4 linked regions of the Arabidopsis thaliana genome follow. The protein of the gene in region 3 interacts with the protein of the main gene of each other region in a pairwise test. Each region holds a gene or a part of one and is shown on either strand. Other genes may lie near its edges.

The links.
Region 1: the proteins of LBD40 (region 3) and AT4G39780 interact in a two-hybrid assay, tested with the Arabidopsis thaliana proteins (one large-scale study listed by BioGRID).
Region 2: the proteins of LBD40 (region 3) and WRKY2 interact in a two-hybrid assay, tested with the Arabidopsis thaliana proteins (one large-scale study listed by BioGRID).
Region 4: the proteins of LBD40 (region 3) and ATAF2 interact in a two-hybrid assay, tested with the Arabidopsis thaliana proteins (one large-scale study listed by BioGRID).

The regions. Positions count from the first base shown.
Region 1 is NC_003075.7:18,457,373-18,461,233, reverse strand, and holds AT4G39780 (Integrase-type DNA-binding superfamily protein), read left to right. Parts: upstream 1-1,976; 5' UTR 1,977-2,199; coding exon 2,200-3,018; 3' UTR 3,019-3,328; downstream 3,329-3,861.
Region 2 is NC_003076.8:22,777,565-22,783,930, forward strand, and holds WRKY2 (WRKY DNA-binding protein 2), read left to right. Parts: upstream 1-2,049; 5' UTR 2,050-2,681; intron 2,682-3,201; 5' UTR 3,202-3,251; coding exon 3,252-3,656; intron 3,657-3,733; coding exon 3,734-4,689; intron 4,690-4,764; coding exon 4,765-4,923; intron 4,924-5,029; coding exon 5,030-5,573; 3' UTR 5,574-5,862; downstream 5,863-6,366. Other genes in the region: CSN6A (COP9 signalosome subunit 6A), read right to left, coding at 6,053-6,134, 6,296-6,351. UniProt on the Arabidopsis thaliana protein: Transcription factor. Regulates WOX8 and WOX9 expression and basal cell division patterns during early embryogenesis. Interacts specifically with the W box (5'-(T)TGAC[CT]-3'), a frequently occurring elicitor-responsive cis-acting element.
Region 3 is NC_003070.9:25,051,979-25,055,390, reverse strand, and holds LBD40 (LOB domain-containing protein 40), read right to left. Parts: upstream 1,719-3,412; 5' UTR 1,591-1,718; coding exon 1,401-1,590; intron 1,244-1,400; coding exon 732-1,243; 3' UTR 527-731; downstream 1-526.
Region 4 is NC_003076.8:2,858,345-2,862,273, forward strand, and holds ATAF2 (NAC (No Apical Meristem) domain transcriptional regulator superfamily protein), read right to left. Parts: upstream 2,215-3,929; 5' UTR 1,801-2,214; coding exon 1,641-1,800; intron 1,552-1,640; coding exon 1,271-1,551; intron 1,180-1,270; coding exon 769-1,179; 3' UTR 505-768; downstream 1-504. Other genes in the region: AT5G08780 (winged-helix DNA-binding transcription factor family protein), read left to right, coding at 1-38, 143-466.

The sequences.
Region 1 (3,861 bases), on a different chromosome or scaffold from region 3:
TCGGGTCATCCATAGATTTACGATCAACAATTAAAAGAAAATTTAGAAAGTTAAGAAAGTAACGAATACTTTGTAAGACGTGTAATCGAGTTTATCTCCAAAAACTTTAGAATTATTCCTAATCTACGTTATGATTTCTAACCAAATAGATTAGCGATGAGATCAAAAGTAGTTTCTGAAGATATGTTCTTTAGCTTCTTCTGTCAGTTGTCAGGTCTTAGAGAACCGAGAGATAATGATTTCCACGTAGGATCTTACGTGTGAACAAGCCAGAGTGGGTCCCACATAGTTGCTTCTTCTCTTATTTTTGGCTTTTCATATCGGTTCGAAGAATCTTATTTAATTTGATACAAAATAAGTAATCAATAAGAAAATAAGGGAATACATTACGTGGAAATTTTTTGAAATTCACTCATAAAGTTGGAATTAATGGTCTTTTTGGGGGGGGGAAAACGTGGAGGGTAAACGAATATACAAAGTAAGCAAGTAGTATCCGTGTAAAGCTTTTCATATCACCTAACTTTTTTCCATTTTCAATCATTTATGGTGAAAATTTGTGAATATTATAACAAAAAATTATTTAGGTAAATAAAAAATGGCTACTAGTAAGTGTGAAAAAGAATATGGAATGAAATGAGAATGTAATTTAGCTCATGAATCTTTGATTATATTGATTGCAATTCTTAAAACCTTCTCTTCATATTGATACTATGTAATGAATTATCAAAACAGAAAAATAATATATACGAAAACAAAAGTAAATCCATTATCTGAAACGTGTCTACCTCATTTTGTTTTAAACGAAACAATATACTTATCGTAAATAAAATCATTATACAATTTCTCTATTTTCTACAACAATCAAACACAAAAGAATTTTACATAATATTTCGAAGAATATTGGATTTTTAAATGGTTAAAATCTGAAAAGGAACTTGAAAAAAGGTGAAGAAGATCCACTAGCTTCCTTGTGACGCAAACTTTAACCGCCTTTGAGTTCTCACCTCTTTCCATTCTTCTCCAATAGCTTTCTTCACTTTCTCCAATTAATTTTATCTTGCTAACCAAACAACCCCTTAGTTTATTAATTTACAACCCCCCCACCCCACTTTTTACATCTACTTGTATGCGGTATACTCAATAAAAATTTCTGAAAATGGACCACATTAGGACTTGGGAATATTAGTATGACCACCAATATTCTCATGTTTGATATGGCTGCAATTTCTTCTTTTTGTTTGCATGAATATTATTTAGTACTTCAAGTACTGATTCCATGCTTTTTTTTTTTCCTTCTAATTCAACATGAGTAAAATATAAATTATTTTATAAGAAGATATGTTGGCAAAAGAAAAGAAGTGGTAAAGAAGGCAAACTGGCCTTTCAACTTGCGCTAGAATCAACTAATGTCAGTTTTTGGCTCTTACGATTTTTGAAATTATTGCTGAAAAGATTATATTTCGGCGATTTTATTTATTAAATATAGCTCCAAAACTAGAGTCAAAGATCATATGAGAAGTTAAAGAAAATTAATTCCGTCTTTTTGGTGTGTGTGTAACGTGTAAACCTAATTAAACTATAACATGCTCTCTTTTTCAAAAAAAAATATAACACGCTCTTCACATATAACATGAAATCAATATAAATATATCCTTAATAAACACAATAGAAAGTGAAATTGATATTTATAGTTATTGCGAGCTAGTATAGTTATGATTTTTTTTAAAAAATTGAGCTGGGAATTTTTGTAAAATTTAGAACTCTTAGTCTAACCATGATAGATGATTGTTTTGTCACACACGTACACACCATAAAATCGTATTATATTCCCTGGGAACGGCTTAGATCCATGGAATAAAAGATTTTTATCAAGCTGACGAGAAACAAATCGTCAACAGAACAAAAGCATCTAAACAATGTAATTATTAAATTTAACATTCTACTGAAGAAATTTATATATAATTTTAAAATGATAATGATCTCAATGGGCGGCTTAGCTTATGGTGTTATATAAGCAAAGAACTTGGCATCAAGCGAAACCAAAAGCGACAGAAAAAAACAAATATTTAGAAACAAAAAATGCTATAATTCTTCCTTTTTCTTGTTCTTTCAGAGATTTTGATTTCTATTCAATCGACTAAGAGGGTGTGTTTTTAATCCCTCTCTGTTTTAATTTTGTTTCCTAGTCTTTAAAGATCCATGGCAGCCATAGATATGTTCAATAGCAACACAGATCCTTTTCAAGAAGAGCTCATGAAAGCACTTCAACCTTATACCACCAACACTGATTCTTCTTCTCCTACGTATTCAAACACAGTCTTCGGTTTCAATCAAACCACATCTCTCGGTCTAAACCAGCTCACACCTTACCAAATCCACCAAATCCAAAACCAGCTTAACCAGAGACGTAACATAATCTCTCCAAATCTAGCCCCAAAGCCTGTCCCAATGAAGAACATGACCGCTCAGAAACTCTATAGAGGAGTTAGACAAAGGCACTGGGGAAAATGGGTAGCTGAGATCCGTTTACCCAAGAACCGGACCCGACTCTGGCTTGGAACTTTCGACACAGCTGAAGAAGCAGCCATGGCTTATGACCTAGCTGCTTACAAGCTAAGAGGCGAGTTCGCGAGACTTAATTTCCCACAGTTCAGACACGAGGATGGATACTACGGAGGAGGTAGCTGTTTCAATCCTCTTCATTCCTCTGTCGACGCAAAGCTCCAAGAGATTTGTCAGAGCTTGAGAAAAACAGAGGATATTGACCTCCCCTGTTCTGAAACAGAGCTTTTCCCGCCAAAAACAGAGTATCAAGAAAGTGAATATGGGTTCTTGAGATCTGATGAGAATTCGTTTTCAGATGAGTCTCATGTGGAATCTTCTTCGCCGGAATCTGGTATTACTACGTTCTTGGACTTTTCGGATTCTGGATTTGATGAGATTGGGAGTTTCGGGCTGGAGAAGTTTCCTTCTGTGGAGATTGATTGGGATGCGATTAGCAAATTGTCCGAATCTTAAACAAAGCAAAGAGAAGACTTTTTCTTTTAGGAGTTTGTCTTTCAATTTCAGTGTCTTATATTAATCTCTCTGCAACTGAAATTTTTAACAGTTGCGGAGAGAATCGTCTCTAGGGTTTGTTTCTCTTCCTCCATGTTTTGGTCTGACTGGTTTATGTCTTTTTTTTTTTTTTGAACTTTCAAAAACCTTTGTCATTGACCAATCGGAGAAGTTTCCATGTATTCTCTCATCTTTAAATTTCTAATGAAGAATGTAAATTATTAGTCTTTTGCTGATAGTGTTTTTGGTCATTATAAAAATAAGGTTTGCATGCTGATAAAGTATAAAATTCATTTATTAAACAGTTTCAGAGAACTTGCGGAAAGATAATTGATCTCTTCTGTCAAGGATTTTTTAAGAAATTAAACTTAATGTTAATTCTCCTTTTTTATACTTAAATCATTCTTGTAAAATGATTCAAAAAGACATGATGGGAACAAAATTTGGATCGGAAAATAAAATCTAATATGTTTCAACTACAAAGCAAAATATCATTTGACGAAATTTGAAAATGTATTCCTGCCGAGGAAATTCCAAAAAAGAAAAACAAATCAAATAATTATAGAACTTTATTCCGGCGATAATTCAAATAACTTATGCTGCATTTGTGTGTATTGTGGACGATAGAGGTCCGTTGTTGACATATGGGAACACATAAGCCACAAAGTTCGATGCTTTAAGGTAAAGAATCTTACAATAACCAACAATTGTGGCAAAGATTAAAACGTTCATAATATATACACTATACAACTACTTTAAAGTCTGTTTTTTCAAATATTATATTTAGAAAAAAAAATAAACAAA
Region 2 (6,366 bases), on a different chromosome or scaffold from region 3:
CTTTCAAAGTTCGTTTTGAGGGCCCCACGATGTAAAATAAAAATATCTGTAAGAAGAAAAAAAAAAAAAAAAAAAGGTACACCACGCCACAACCGTGCTTTGGCTGTCACATGAGTGTAAGGTCACAGCTCCGTAACGGGATATTTTGCGGCTCGTAAAAAGACAAAGAAGAATAAAAGTGAAAGCGAAAAACAAAATACTAAAAGAGGCTTGGTCAATGTTTCTTTTTTGACCGTTTTTTTTTGGAAAAACTGCCTCCTCAATTTCCAATTTAATATTCAATTTAAGGTATAATTAAAAGTCATTGATTGATTATTCCCAATTTTATTAAATGTCTCTACATACAATTAGATTAGATCATCCTTAACGCACGTTAGTCATTTTGTTTCTTCCTCTTTTCAGACTATAAACGTTAACATGTAAGAAAGAAAAGAAAAGATATAAGCGTTAACGTATCTCATATATTTGTAAAGAATATTTGTCTGATGTTATTTAGTTCGTTTAATGATTTTATTTTAGGTTTCTTTAACCAGTACTTAACTACTTAATAGGTGTTATATATATTAGATTCAATCTATATTTGAATATCTGAATTTCACAATGGTTGGTAAACGTATCTCCTTATATTGCAGTTTAATTAGGTTAATACGTTTCATCTAAAATGCATAGTTTTAAAATCAAATCACATGCATGCATGTATGAGAACATGTCAAATTCAAATATTATTGTTTTTTTTTTTTTTTTTTTTGTAAAACAATATATTATTGTTATACGTCTTATCGATTGAAGTCGAAAGATTTGGTTGCCATATAGATCTATGTTGCGTCTCTACTCTAGTTTCATATATTAGTTTGAACTTCTAGTCTTTCGACTCAACGATGATTTGGGTTAGGTCAAAATATCTTATAACAATTAAATATTCTACTTAACACTGATACCAAAAAAAACTAATTAAATATTAAGGGTGATTGTTGTTGTTACATAACTTAAAACTGATTTACATAAACACATTTTGACTTTTGGATGTAAGTGTACATACATGTATCAAGTTACTAATACATAACTTATTATCTATCCTCTTTAAAGATCGAGCACTATAAACGATAACAAGAAAAAAATAACATAAAAAATTCAAATTTAAAATAGAATTTGATACACGAAAATATCTACTTATTTACTTTGTTTGCCATAACCTTACTAACTAAAATAATAAAATTACTAATTATTAAATTTTAAAATAGTAAATACTAGATCATAATTTGGTTTTGTTAGTGTCCTCGCAACATCACTAACCAATCGGTCGTTGACAAAAAATAATACTAGTAAAATAGTATGATGAAATCAACATTTTCAATCACTAATAAAAATAAATTTTGGCATCTTATAATTTTACCGTAAAAACTATAATTCTACTCAATTAATTTTTTTGAAACTTGTAATATCGACATATCAGACCTAACAGTATACTTTCTGTTAAATTTAACTGTTTTTTTATCCTTCAAAATACCTGGATTTCTCAAAAAATGCTATGTTAAACATTTTATTCTCTGCGGTGAAAATATTTTGACAACATTTCCCCTTTTAACTGAATTTTCTTGCATAGTTACTACACACAGAGACTATAAATAGCTTGCAGATTAGATTTTCTTCTGTTCCACAAATTTCTAACTAATATGACCACTTATAGTAAAAAACAACAACCTGCTTTATATGTAACTTTTTTTCTTTTCCTTGTCCTTAAAGAGATAATTCAGTTTTTTTCTTTCTCAATTCATATGAATCAAATCAAACCAATATAAGACTATATTCACTGTAATAAAATAATTTTCTAAATCCGACATGTGGCAGAATAGAACCTTTTGCCAATAATTTCCTTTTAAAATTAATTTTCTTCCTATTAATAACCAATCCGGAAAAAATGAAAATGGAAGAGAAATTAATGTGAAAAGTTGGCAAATAATTCGTTAGAGATCACCTGTGTTACACCTCACCGTACCTCTTACTTATCAACCGTTGATCTTAATTCTCTAACTCCAATTACTCCACGTGGCGTGTTTTTATAGGTGAATTCAATTATGAGAAAAAACGCTTCGTGTATGTTAGAACACGAATCACCCCCATCATCGTCATCATCTTCACCATTTCTCCTGCAAAAACTTTTTTATTCCTTCTTCCTCTTTAGTAAACAAATCGATCAAAAATGGTCTCATAATTCTCTCTATATCTTTTATCACTTTCGAAGATTCCTCTTCTCGCCCACAAATCAAAATCATTTCTTTTGCCGACTAATTGAATTTCTTAGAATTCAACATACGCAATGAAAATGTTCTCGTCACAAAGATTAGACTAATCCGACTGTGTTTTTAATCAATCATCATTTTATTTAGGGGAGAGAAGTTGTAAAGTTTTGATTTTTTTTTCTGGGTTTTTTCTGTGAGACCCAGAAGAAGAACAGAGAGAGGAAGAAGGAGAAGAAAAAAATATCTCTTTCTCTCCGGCTTTCAACAAAATCTCTCTTTTTTCCTTCATCAGTGTTAAATTCGGATCCGGGTCGGGTGGGTTTTCGGTTTTTGGTGTTCGGATCAGAGCACAGTTGGATGTTAGCGACGGAACTGAGGATTTCAGTTTGCGGCTGCGGCGGCTGTGACGGTGTTTGTGTGTCGTCTTCTTTTATCAATCAGGTAAATAGTCACAATCGAGTTTTTGTGATTCCATTTTCATATGATTAAAATGTTTCATCTTTAACTTAAATTCTGGATTTTGAACAAACCTTGATTTGTTTAATCGTCTCCTTTTAGGTTCTTTTTGCTTACAGTCTGGGTTAAGCTATAATCACACGTTTTTTTCTTTCTCTTTGTCGTTTTTAATCTTCGTGGCTCGATCATTTTTGATTCATTTCCAAAATTCTCGAAGCTAATTCGTTAGAATCTAAAATCCTATGTTTTGATTTTGTGAGATTCCATGAAAGTGGCTTAACGTGTGAAAAAGAAAAAGTCCTTCATTTTCTTACATTTTTTTCTTTTGTCTGAATGAATTATTTTATATATTTTTTGTCCACTTTGAAATAAAAAAGTTTTAAACTTTGAGAAACTTAAGCTCACTGGTTTAGTGACACTTGTCTCTAATCATCGTTGTGTTTAGCTAGATTATTGTTTTTTTGGTAGTAATCTGAAGTTTTGTGATTCTTTATCATATTTTCAGGAGTTTCATCACAGTTTGATCAGAGATTCAGCCAAATTCTTGGATACTAAATGGCTGGTTTTGATGAAAATGTTGCTGTGATGGGAGAATGGGTGCCTCGTAGTCCTAGTCCCGGGACACTTTTCTCCTCTGCTATTGGAGAAGAGAAGAGCTCGAAACGTGTTCTTGAAAGAGAGTTATCTTTGAATCATGGTCAAGTTATTGGTTTAGAAGAAGACACTAGTAGTAATCATAACAAGGATTCTTCACAAAGCAATGTTTTTCGAGGTGGTCTCAGTGAAAGAATTGCTGCAAGAGCTGGATTTAATGCTCCAAGGTTGAACACTGAGAATATCCGCACCAACACCGACTTTTCCATTGACTCTAACCTTCGATCTCCTTGCTTAACCATCTCTTCTCCTGGCCTTAGCCCTGCAACACTCTTGGAATCTCCTGTTTTCCTTTCTAACCCATTGGTAAGCTACAAGTTGGTTTGCTTTCTTTCGATGTTATTATGGAGCTATTTTTTCTGAATATCTCGGTGACCTTGCAGGCTCAACCTTCTCCAACTACCGGGAAATTTCCATTTCTTCCTGGTGTTAATGGTAATGCATTGTCTTCTGAGAAAGCGAAAGACGAGTTCTTTGATGATATTGGAGCATCATTCAGCTTCCATCCTGTTTCAAGATCATCTTCCTCTTTCTTCCAAGGCACAACAGAGATGATGTCAGTTGATTATGGTAACTACAACAATAGATCTTCTTCTCATCAATCCGCAGAAGAAGTAAAACCTGGCTCTGAAAACATAGAAAGCTCCAATCTTTATGGGATTGAAACTGACAATCAAAACGGGCAGAACAAGACATCTGATGTCACTACAAACACCAGTCTTGAAACCGTGGATCATCAAGAGGAAGAAGAAGAGCAAAGACGCGGTGATTCGATGGCTGGTGGTGCGCCTGCAGAGGATGGATATAACTGGAGGAAATACGGACAAAAGTTGGTCAAAGGAAGTGAGTATCCGCGAAGCTATTACAAGTGCACAAACCCGAATTGTCAGGTGAAGAAGAAAGTTGAGAGATCAAGGGAAGGTCACATCACAGAGATTATATACAAAGGAGCTCATAATCATCTTAAACCTCCACCTAATCGCCGCTCAGGGATGCAAGTAGATGGAACTGAACAAGTTGAACAACAACAACAACAGAGAGATTCTGCTGCAACGTGGGTTAGTTGTAATAACACTCAACAACAAGGTGGAAGCAATGAGAACAATGTCGAAGAGGGATCTACGAGATTCGAGTATGGAAACCAATCTGGATCAATTCAAGCTCAAACCGGAGGTCAATACGAGTCAGGTGATCCTGTGGTTGTGGTTGATGCTTCTTCAACATTCTCTAATGATGAAGATGAAGATGATCGAGGGACACATGGAAGTGTTTCTTTGGGTTACGATGGAGGAGGAGGAGGTGGGGGAGGAGAAGGAGATGAATCAGAGTCGAAAAGAAGGTTTGTTTTAGCAATCGAAACACCGAATCCTCGATGACTCAGTAAACGAGACTCAAAAACTTTTTGATTTTACAGGAAACTAGAAGCTTTTGCAGCAGAGATGAGTGGATCAACAAGAGCCATACGTGAGCCAAGAGTTGTTGTGCAGACAACGAGTGATGTTGACATTCTTGATGATGGTTATCGCTGGCGAAAATATGGTCAGAAAGTTGTCAAAGGCAATCCAAATCCAAGGTTCTTTATAATCCCCTCCTCTGTTTTGGTCTGGTTCTGTTTATATGTTTATCGGCAATCACAAGACCAATTCTTTTTTTATAACGTTTTCATAATGTTTTTCTAGGAGTTATTACAAATGCACAGCTCCAGGATGTACAGTGAGGAAACATGTTGAAAGAGCTTCTCATGATCTCAAATCCGTTATAACAACTTACGAAGGCAAACATAACCATGACGTCCCCGCTGCACGCAACAGCAGCCACGGAGGCGGTGGTGATAGTGGTAACGGTAACAGCGGCGGTTCAGCCGCAGTTTCTCACCATTACCACAACGGTCATCACTCAGAGCCGCCACGTGGGAGATTCGACAGACAAGTCACAACTAACAATCAGTCTCCTTTTAGCCGTCCCTTTAGCTTTCAGCCACATTTGGGTCCTCCTTCTGGTTTCTCCTTCGGTTTAGGACAAACCGGTTTGGTTAATCTTTCAATGCCTGGTTTAGCGTATGGTCAAGGGAAAATGCCGGGTTTGCCTCACCCGTATATGACACAACCGGTTGGGATGAGTGAAGCAATGATGCAGAGAGGGATGGAACCAAAGGTTGAACCGGTTTCAGATTCAGGACAATCGGTATATAACCAGATCATGAGTAGATTACCTCAGATTTGAAATTTACTCTTCTTCTTCTTCTTCTGCATTTGGTCACTCCTTATAATAACTTTTAATTTCTGCTTCTTCTTCTTCTTTCATTTATTGGTTTCAAACTTTGGGGAAGGTAAAGGCTGTTTTATTGTTCATTCCTTGGTTTTGTCTTCTTTTTTACTGGTTCTTTATCTTATATTGAAATCAACAAAGAAGAAAAAAGTGAGTGTTGTGTAGCAATACTGCAATTGCTAACTGGAGACTGATGTGGATGTAACTAGAGAGACTGATAGAATCAAACCTTAAAATCTTTTTACTAACAATAGAAACTTGTTCAAGATCAAACAAGAGCTTTGATAGATAAGCAGATGTTCTTATAGATATAGAAACAATGAAGAGGATAAAGTCTTGCCGTCTGAGTTATAGATTCTCACAGAGGCAATGTTAAAAATGGTTTCAGGAACCAAGAGAAGATCTTTAGAACTAGAATCGCTGGAAAGGATCTTTTACATGAATGCAGTTCTTCCACCTCTTCGAGTGTTTCTGTCATATGCGGTGTTGAATTTGTCGACCATCTCGTTCATGTTGCTGCAGATTGAGCAAACAAAATTATTAACTGATATAACAGAATCCACCAGCCCGGTGAAAACCGTATCTTTCACAGTTCCTAAAGAACCACTAGTTAAAGAGCATTCGCTAGCCTATATACTTGCTTTCAAATACTTTAGAATGTTGCATTAGGTACAAACCTGGAACAATTTGTAATCATCGCTAGGTAAGTTATTAGTAATTTGTCGTTGTACTCCTGCAAAAAGAAAAA
Region 3 (3,412 bases):
TGTAGGCTAGAAACTGCATTAATTATTTTAGCATATCTGATAGTATGAGAATTGAGTGTATAGGGGGGGAAGATAGATGGACAAAACAGGATTCAAGTCCGAAAGAGTTGGGCTATGTTTTCTGCTGAATACACATTTCGACCCAATTAGTTAAAATAATTCATCCTTTTCGTTTTCTCTAGCTAATTAAGTTCCTACACATATCCTTCGAGAACAAAAATCTAACACACATGCATGTTAGCTGCTGAGTCATTTGGTAACACGGTTCACATACAAAAGGGCTTTTTGAGACAAAATATTTATAAATGAATGACTAATCATCATATGGAGATTTCATCATTAAGCAACTTAGATTCTTTGTAATCTAACCCCAGATATTTCTGAAATAGAAGATTTGTTAAGTTTTTTTTTATATAAATAAAATACAAAATTTATTGGGATAAACGTGTTTACATCAATTGCATCGTTTGTTTAAGTACATGAGTAAAATCAAGAATTTAGAATGGAAAGAAGAAATGTTTGTTATGTCGATCCGAACCAAGATTTGTTAAGTTAAGACCTCTTTATCATTCATCATACATATTTATGAAGAACACCGAACATGCAAAAGAAAACAAAACAAAACATAAAACTCAAAAAGAGAAAAAAGAGAGATTCGTTAATCTCTATTTGTACACCTAAAACTCAACACCAAAACTTGTAATTAAGACCAGCCACAAAAAAAGAACCATTCACTCACTGCACACCAGTCCAAGCTCAATCTTACACGTGTCCTCATCCTCAGACGTGCCACACCTCTCTAACTTTCTTTTCTTCATCGGTACCACCACGTGATTTCCACGTGCTAAAGGCTCCAACCCCAAAGTCAGCTCAAGCCCGATCCAAGTCTTTGGTTCCTCCGTCGTCGTCTCCTCAGAAGACACCGGTGACTCGTGACTCAGTGACGACTCATGACTCAAAGACCTCACGTTTCTCTCTTCCTTGCATGCACCACGGCTCCGTCTCTTAACGTTCTCGTCCCTGCTTGACACGTGTCTTATGTCGCAAAGCTTGTTGTTAAAAGGAGGTGCTTGACCAGTAACCGCTGCGTCGCATGCGATCGGAGTCACGGGTGAGCCTCTCATTACTGCCTCAACGGCCGCTTGACAAAGATGCCAGTTTCCTGACCACAATAACCCCACGGATCCGTATATCGGATTCACAATCCTCCCGCATGCTTCGTACAACAATGATCTAAATATCGCTGCAAAAACAAACAAAATTACCAAATTATTAGATGCATGTTAGAAAAATAAACAGGATCCTACGTTTCCTAAAAAGATGTATGAGAGATTCCGTCCAGAACTTCGCAATTAACCATAACAAACAAAAAACATAACATGCATGGGAAGTTTGAATACCAGGACGGAGGTGGTCAGGACCGGTGTTGAGGAGGTTCATGAGCCCCGCACGGCCATAAAACTTGGCGAGGAAGACGGTGGCGTTGGCTTGAGATTCAGCGGATTTGATCCATTGAAGACAAGGTCTTATGCTACAGTTTTCACTGCAGCCTTTTCGTAGAACTCGACATCCGTTACAACTCATACGCATTTTAGATGGGAAACAAAAAACAAAATGTGTTTTGGGTTTGAGGGAAAGTACAGAATGGTCCAGAGATCTTAGAAGAAGGAAGAGGTATTTAAGAGGGAGAAGCTGCTTGGGTTTGGTCGGAGAGATCATAACAATTAACAAGGAACGAAGTTGTCGTTTTCTTTGTGTGTAATTTTTTTCAAAAAATAAATAAATTTGTGACGTGCATGTTATATTTTTCTCTAAATGGATATCGTAATTTTCAAAGTATAAATAAGATGTAAAGAGCCCAAAAAAGAAGAGTTTTGTAATTGTTTTTATATTTTGTATGAATTATTTTAGTAAATTACGAGAATATTACCTTTATTTAGGTAAGTAATTTTTTCAAACTGTTATTATGTGTTTATAAAAATAAACAAAGCTTCTCATACTATTTGTATAGTTATAAAATTTTAAAATCTTTAATTTTCATGGTTTATACATTTTGTTTGTTTGTTTGTAGTTACTAATAATATATATTTTTTTTTTTGGGGAAAATAGTTACTAATAAATATGAAATATATATGGAAGCCCGTTGAGCTTTGTCTTTGGCTCTCATTCGTAGCGCGTGATCATCATCGACGAAAATGTCCAAAACCAGTCAAGTATTTTATTTTTTTGGTTAGTTGTTTATATCTGACCGCCGTTTGTTTTTGTCTAGACCGCAGTTTAATGTTCGGCAATTAATAATGGACTGCCAAAATATTTGGAGATAGTAAATTTTGAAAACGAAATTACTAGAGGGTAAAATGGTAAATAGAGAGATGAGAGGTTCGAATTTCAACGTTCGCATGCAAGCGCAAAAGTGTGATCGCGTGGCGGAGACATTGTGGTAACAGAGTTTGGTCGAATCGCCGCGTTTTCTGAGCGGTTACACATTATGTAGCTCCATACATAATTCTGATAATTAATATTAATATCCAAATACCTACTTAATAAATTATCTTAATGGAATCACTTTGACTTCTATAGGCTCTAGTATATATCAACATTAATATCGAAAGACCTACTAATAAATTATCTGCATGGATCACTTTGACTAATATAGGCTCTACAATTTTTACTTTTAGGTGAATAGATGCCAACGTTTATTGGTTAGATTTGGTAGTTTCTTCCATTGAAACACCCATCATTGAATGGTGATGTTTGAATTATTTCTATTACTTCTTTAATAAAATAAAGAAAAAAACGCACACACAATCTATTAATTATTATTAAGGTTTAGAAACAGTTAAAAATTAAAATTATAGAAAATATATAAATATCTATCAAAAATGTTAAAAATGTCAAATCGCAAACAAAGTTTAGATAAAATATTTATTTAAGTATATCAAACATTATATAAACATTTATAATTATTTATATAAAGATAAAACTTAGTTAAAAACTAGAAAAATACAGTAAAACAAAATATATATAATTTTAACGGATAAAACGATTTATTTTTTCTTCTGCCGGCTATCACACGATTAATACGATTGTCTCCACTTTAACTAATAATATAATCATGCGAACAATCATAACTATAGCTAGTAGACTCTATAGAGTCAATTTTTCTGAAAGACCAGTTACAGACGAATGTGAAAGCTATATATGCTATATGATATATACTAGTATGAAATAAATTTGTTGTCGTTTCAGGTAATTTAGAAGACCTGTATAAAGTTGTACAATAATTTTCTATATCAAATAACTTAACATATTGTAAGATAAACAATAAGTCAATAACCTAATTCCTATATGTATATATATTATGTTTTTGAAAAATTCAAATGGTATATATACATGTTTAGATAGACGTATG
Region 4 (3,929 bases), on a different chromosome or scaffold from region 3:
CAGAAATTGATGATGTTTCTCGTTTGCCTTTATCAATGGTGAGGACAAAAATCCCTGTTACGTCATGTCACTGATATGTTTTTGAGCTGATGAAAAACAGGTTCTGAATGTTTTTTTGTTGTCTCCTTTTCTTTATCCACAGGAAAGCTGCAGAGAACTGTGGAAGGCTGCCCAAAAGTTACAAAGCCAGCTCTCTGAGATCATCGATTCATGTGATGAAACCGTGGTTCCATATTCTGTATCTCCAGGATGTGAACTCGAAGGTATAAGCAAAGGATTATGCAAAGAGGATCCCAAAATGAAGACTCCTCGTGGGAATAATGGATCTGAAAAACCCTCCACACAGCTTGAACAGAAGGAAAGAGAGAAGTCTTCCAAAAAGAAACCTCAGGTCAAGAAAACGAGAATCAAAAGTCTCAGAGACATAGGAATAACAGCTGTGAGGAAATCGCCTCGATTCAGCTGATGATACTCATCAAAAAATGCTTCCGGAGAGCATGATATCTCATAAAGGTTAGGTTGTTATTTAATATCAGTATCTACATAAGTGCAACATCTTGAAGAATTTGAATATAAATTTTTAGTTTTCATATAAACTTCTCATGAAAGAACAAGAATGTGCCTGCTAATGAGACATTGATGCTAAAAGCTATTAACATTCTACAATCTTCTTTTACTACTAAGAGCCAGGGATGAGTTGAGATGAGACTCTTCTCTCTGGCACATCACAGTACTACTAGCAAACACCTTTTTTGGTCTCTTCCGTTTTTACCCCTGTGGAGCAAAACTCCAATTCAAGAATGGTTTCTGCTCAGGCGGATCCTGGAAGGAAGTGAAATAATCAGACTGATACAAGAACTGAGGGACAAAAGCGTCAGGCTGCAACAACTCCATGGAACTACCAAACATTGAAGTATCAAAAGCTTCCAAAGCATCCTCAAGCTCTCCCCATTTAGGCTCGCTCTGAACCTCCAAAACATCCGGTGACACCACGTGACCGTGACCACCTGAGCTGCTGGAATCATCCTCTTGCAATGTCGGGTAAGTCGAGTCTGATGTATCAAAAGGTGATGATGACTGTTCAGCCATTGTCGTGGTCCTCGGCTTCTCATCCGCGGGGAAATACTTCTCCATGGTTCCTTTCTTGTTGTATATTCGACATAAAACCCAATCATCAAGCTGTACAGCAAAACCCACCACAACAAAGTTAATAATCTAAATCATCATTCACGAAAAGATGATACATAAGTTAATAAGAAACAGAACTTACTCGTAGGTTGTTCTTTTTGTTAACAGAAGCTGATCTATCAACATTAGCGAGACGATACTCATGCATTATCCAATTGGTCTTAATCCCTTTTGGAGCTTTCCCTGCGTAGAAGACGAGTGCTTTCTTGATACCCAACGTCTTCGGTTTACCAATCGGTTTATCTGCTCCGGTAGCTTTCCAATAACCGGTTCCTGCTGCCCGGTTAGGACGCGAACCGTTTGGGTATTTCCGATCTCTAGGTGAGAAGAAGTACCACTCTTTCTCTCCGTACAGAGACATCTCTGAAAGAAGAACAAACATCTCAATAAACAACGATTCTCGAAGACACATGATTTCGCGAAAAATAATTAGAAGAAGCCCATAGGTGTACCTGGAAGCTCCCAAGGATTGAACTTGTAGAGATCAATCTCGGCGATAACCGGAGCCGAGATCTGCTCGGAAGCACATTTCCGGCACAAGTAGAATTTCACAAGCTCCTCGTCCGTTGGATGGAATCGGAACCCAGCTGGTAAATTTAGCTCCGACTTCATTCTCTTCTTCTTGTCTGTTGCTCTTGGAAAAATCTCTTCTTCGTTGGTTGAAAATTCAATTTCAGCTGGATCTGGATTTTTTTTGGGTTTTCTTCGTCTGCTCAAGATTGTAATCGAGGATATGTGAGTGAGGCGACGAAGGTTTTATAAGGACGAAAATCGCCGAAATGTTTTAATTAATTTAAATTGAAAAAACACAAAAAACAGAAAAGAGATGACACGAGGGGATTTTCAAGCACGTGCGGCAAAACAGACCGTTTTCTTTTCTACGCTGACCGCAGCCAGCTGGATATATACGTGGCGTAATATTATTGGATAGTCGACTTAGATGTTGTCATTGCTTGCGTCACTTAAACCTTTTGTGAATTGTTGACCGACTTTAGACCATCTCCATTGGGAAAGAGAGTGTAGAAAGTTTCTTACTTGAGAAACTTTGAGATACTTTACAACCCATCATGACAATTCTCATCTTACTATTGGTTCAATTTTTTAACAAAAATACTTTTTTAATTAAATAATTAAATTATAATATAATATTAATATTTTTTTTGTTTGAGAAATTTTGTGGATTTCTCGTAGATGGAAATGCCTTTATATGTCAAACCGTAATCTCCTGCTTCTCAGTGTAGCTTATCGCTTTTGTTCCTTTACTTACCACTAAGATTTACCACTAAGATTTAAAAAGAAAAATCTCAGCAGCCACTACTTTTTTATGATATTGAAATTGACACATTATTGTAACCTTGCTGAAGATAAGTCAGCATTTCTTGGGGCGGAAGTTGTAGTTTTGACTGGTGATTGGACAGTTTGATGAAACTACGGTGAGCATCTCCGCAGCTGATTAATTTCCTTCTTCAGGCGAAGCTTTGCGTCATGATGGATGACGTCATTTAAAGTTGCAATCGCCAATCATAGTCACTAATTATAAATACTCTCGACTAATAATACTACATTCACATAAATAAAAACATTGGAGTTCGCAAAGAAAGCGTTTGCGCTTTAGTTTGAGTTTCCCCGTTACATAAAAATATGTGTTAAGGACAACTATTTAACCACTAGCTTAATCCTTAATTAAGTACCCATTGAGCCGCTTTCATTACAGACTTAATTTATAATTCATAAGTTTGATTCACTAGCAAATAATGCCCATGAATCCTCTTCTATTTTAAAATCTTTAAATGTAAAGTTGAGGTAGGTGTGTATGCAAGCATGACGTGGGCTTGTTCCCCGTTTTATGATCATCATCACTTACGTTTTCTATCATATTATAAACTAATTATGATCGATTCAACGTAATGTTTTATAAGATCATGGTCTTTTCCTTTTACTATTAAAAGTCCCTTAGTAGCCAAATTAATTATAATACGAAATATTTGTGGTCAAACATGACTTTTTGTTGTTGTCAATAAGGATTCTTTATCGATATAAGAATGCAAGTTATATAAGTCGTATCATTTCATACACATCTTTTAGGCTTTTAGCTAAATAATTTTCGTGCACTGACGACTTCATTTTTTTCTGTCGTTTTAGATGATAACAGTCAAGTCTAGAATAAAAGATATGACCACTAATATTAAACCAAAAAAAGAAAACAAGAAAATATATAAAAGACATCGTAACGCATGATTTGTTCCTATTATAAAATTCAGATCAATTGGATCTGGACTTGATCTGAATTTTTATGATAAAGAGAGAAATCGACTTTATAGTTTTTTTGCAGTTGTTTGTTAATTTAGTCGCGGTGTGAATTGAAATAGGAAGCTTCGTGGAGCTTGATGTTATAGCTGCCGAACTTGACCCAAATTATGCAAATATAATGTTTTGGTGATGGATTATTACCTTTATGTTTTGTCGTTTCTAGAAATTTACATTGGAATATACTTGAGAATTTGGATAAGGAGGAGACAACTTGGGACCTCATTGTCGGAACTTAGAACCTATCGTTAACAACAATTAGTATCACATATACTACATACTATTCTCTATTCATATGACTACTTGTCTTATTCTTATGTGCGTGCGTATGACAAAAGTCTTACTATATAACATTCGTTTGAAACCGTGCATATATTGTAGTTAATTCTAGCATTTTAATTGGAATGTTTGAGTAGTGAATTATAAGTTTATGA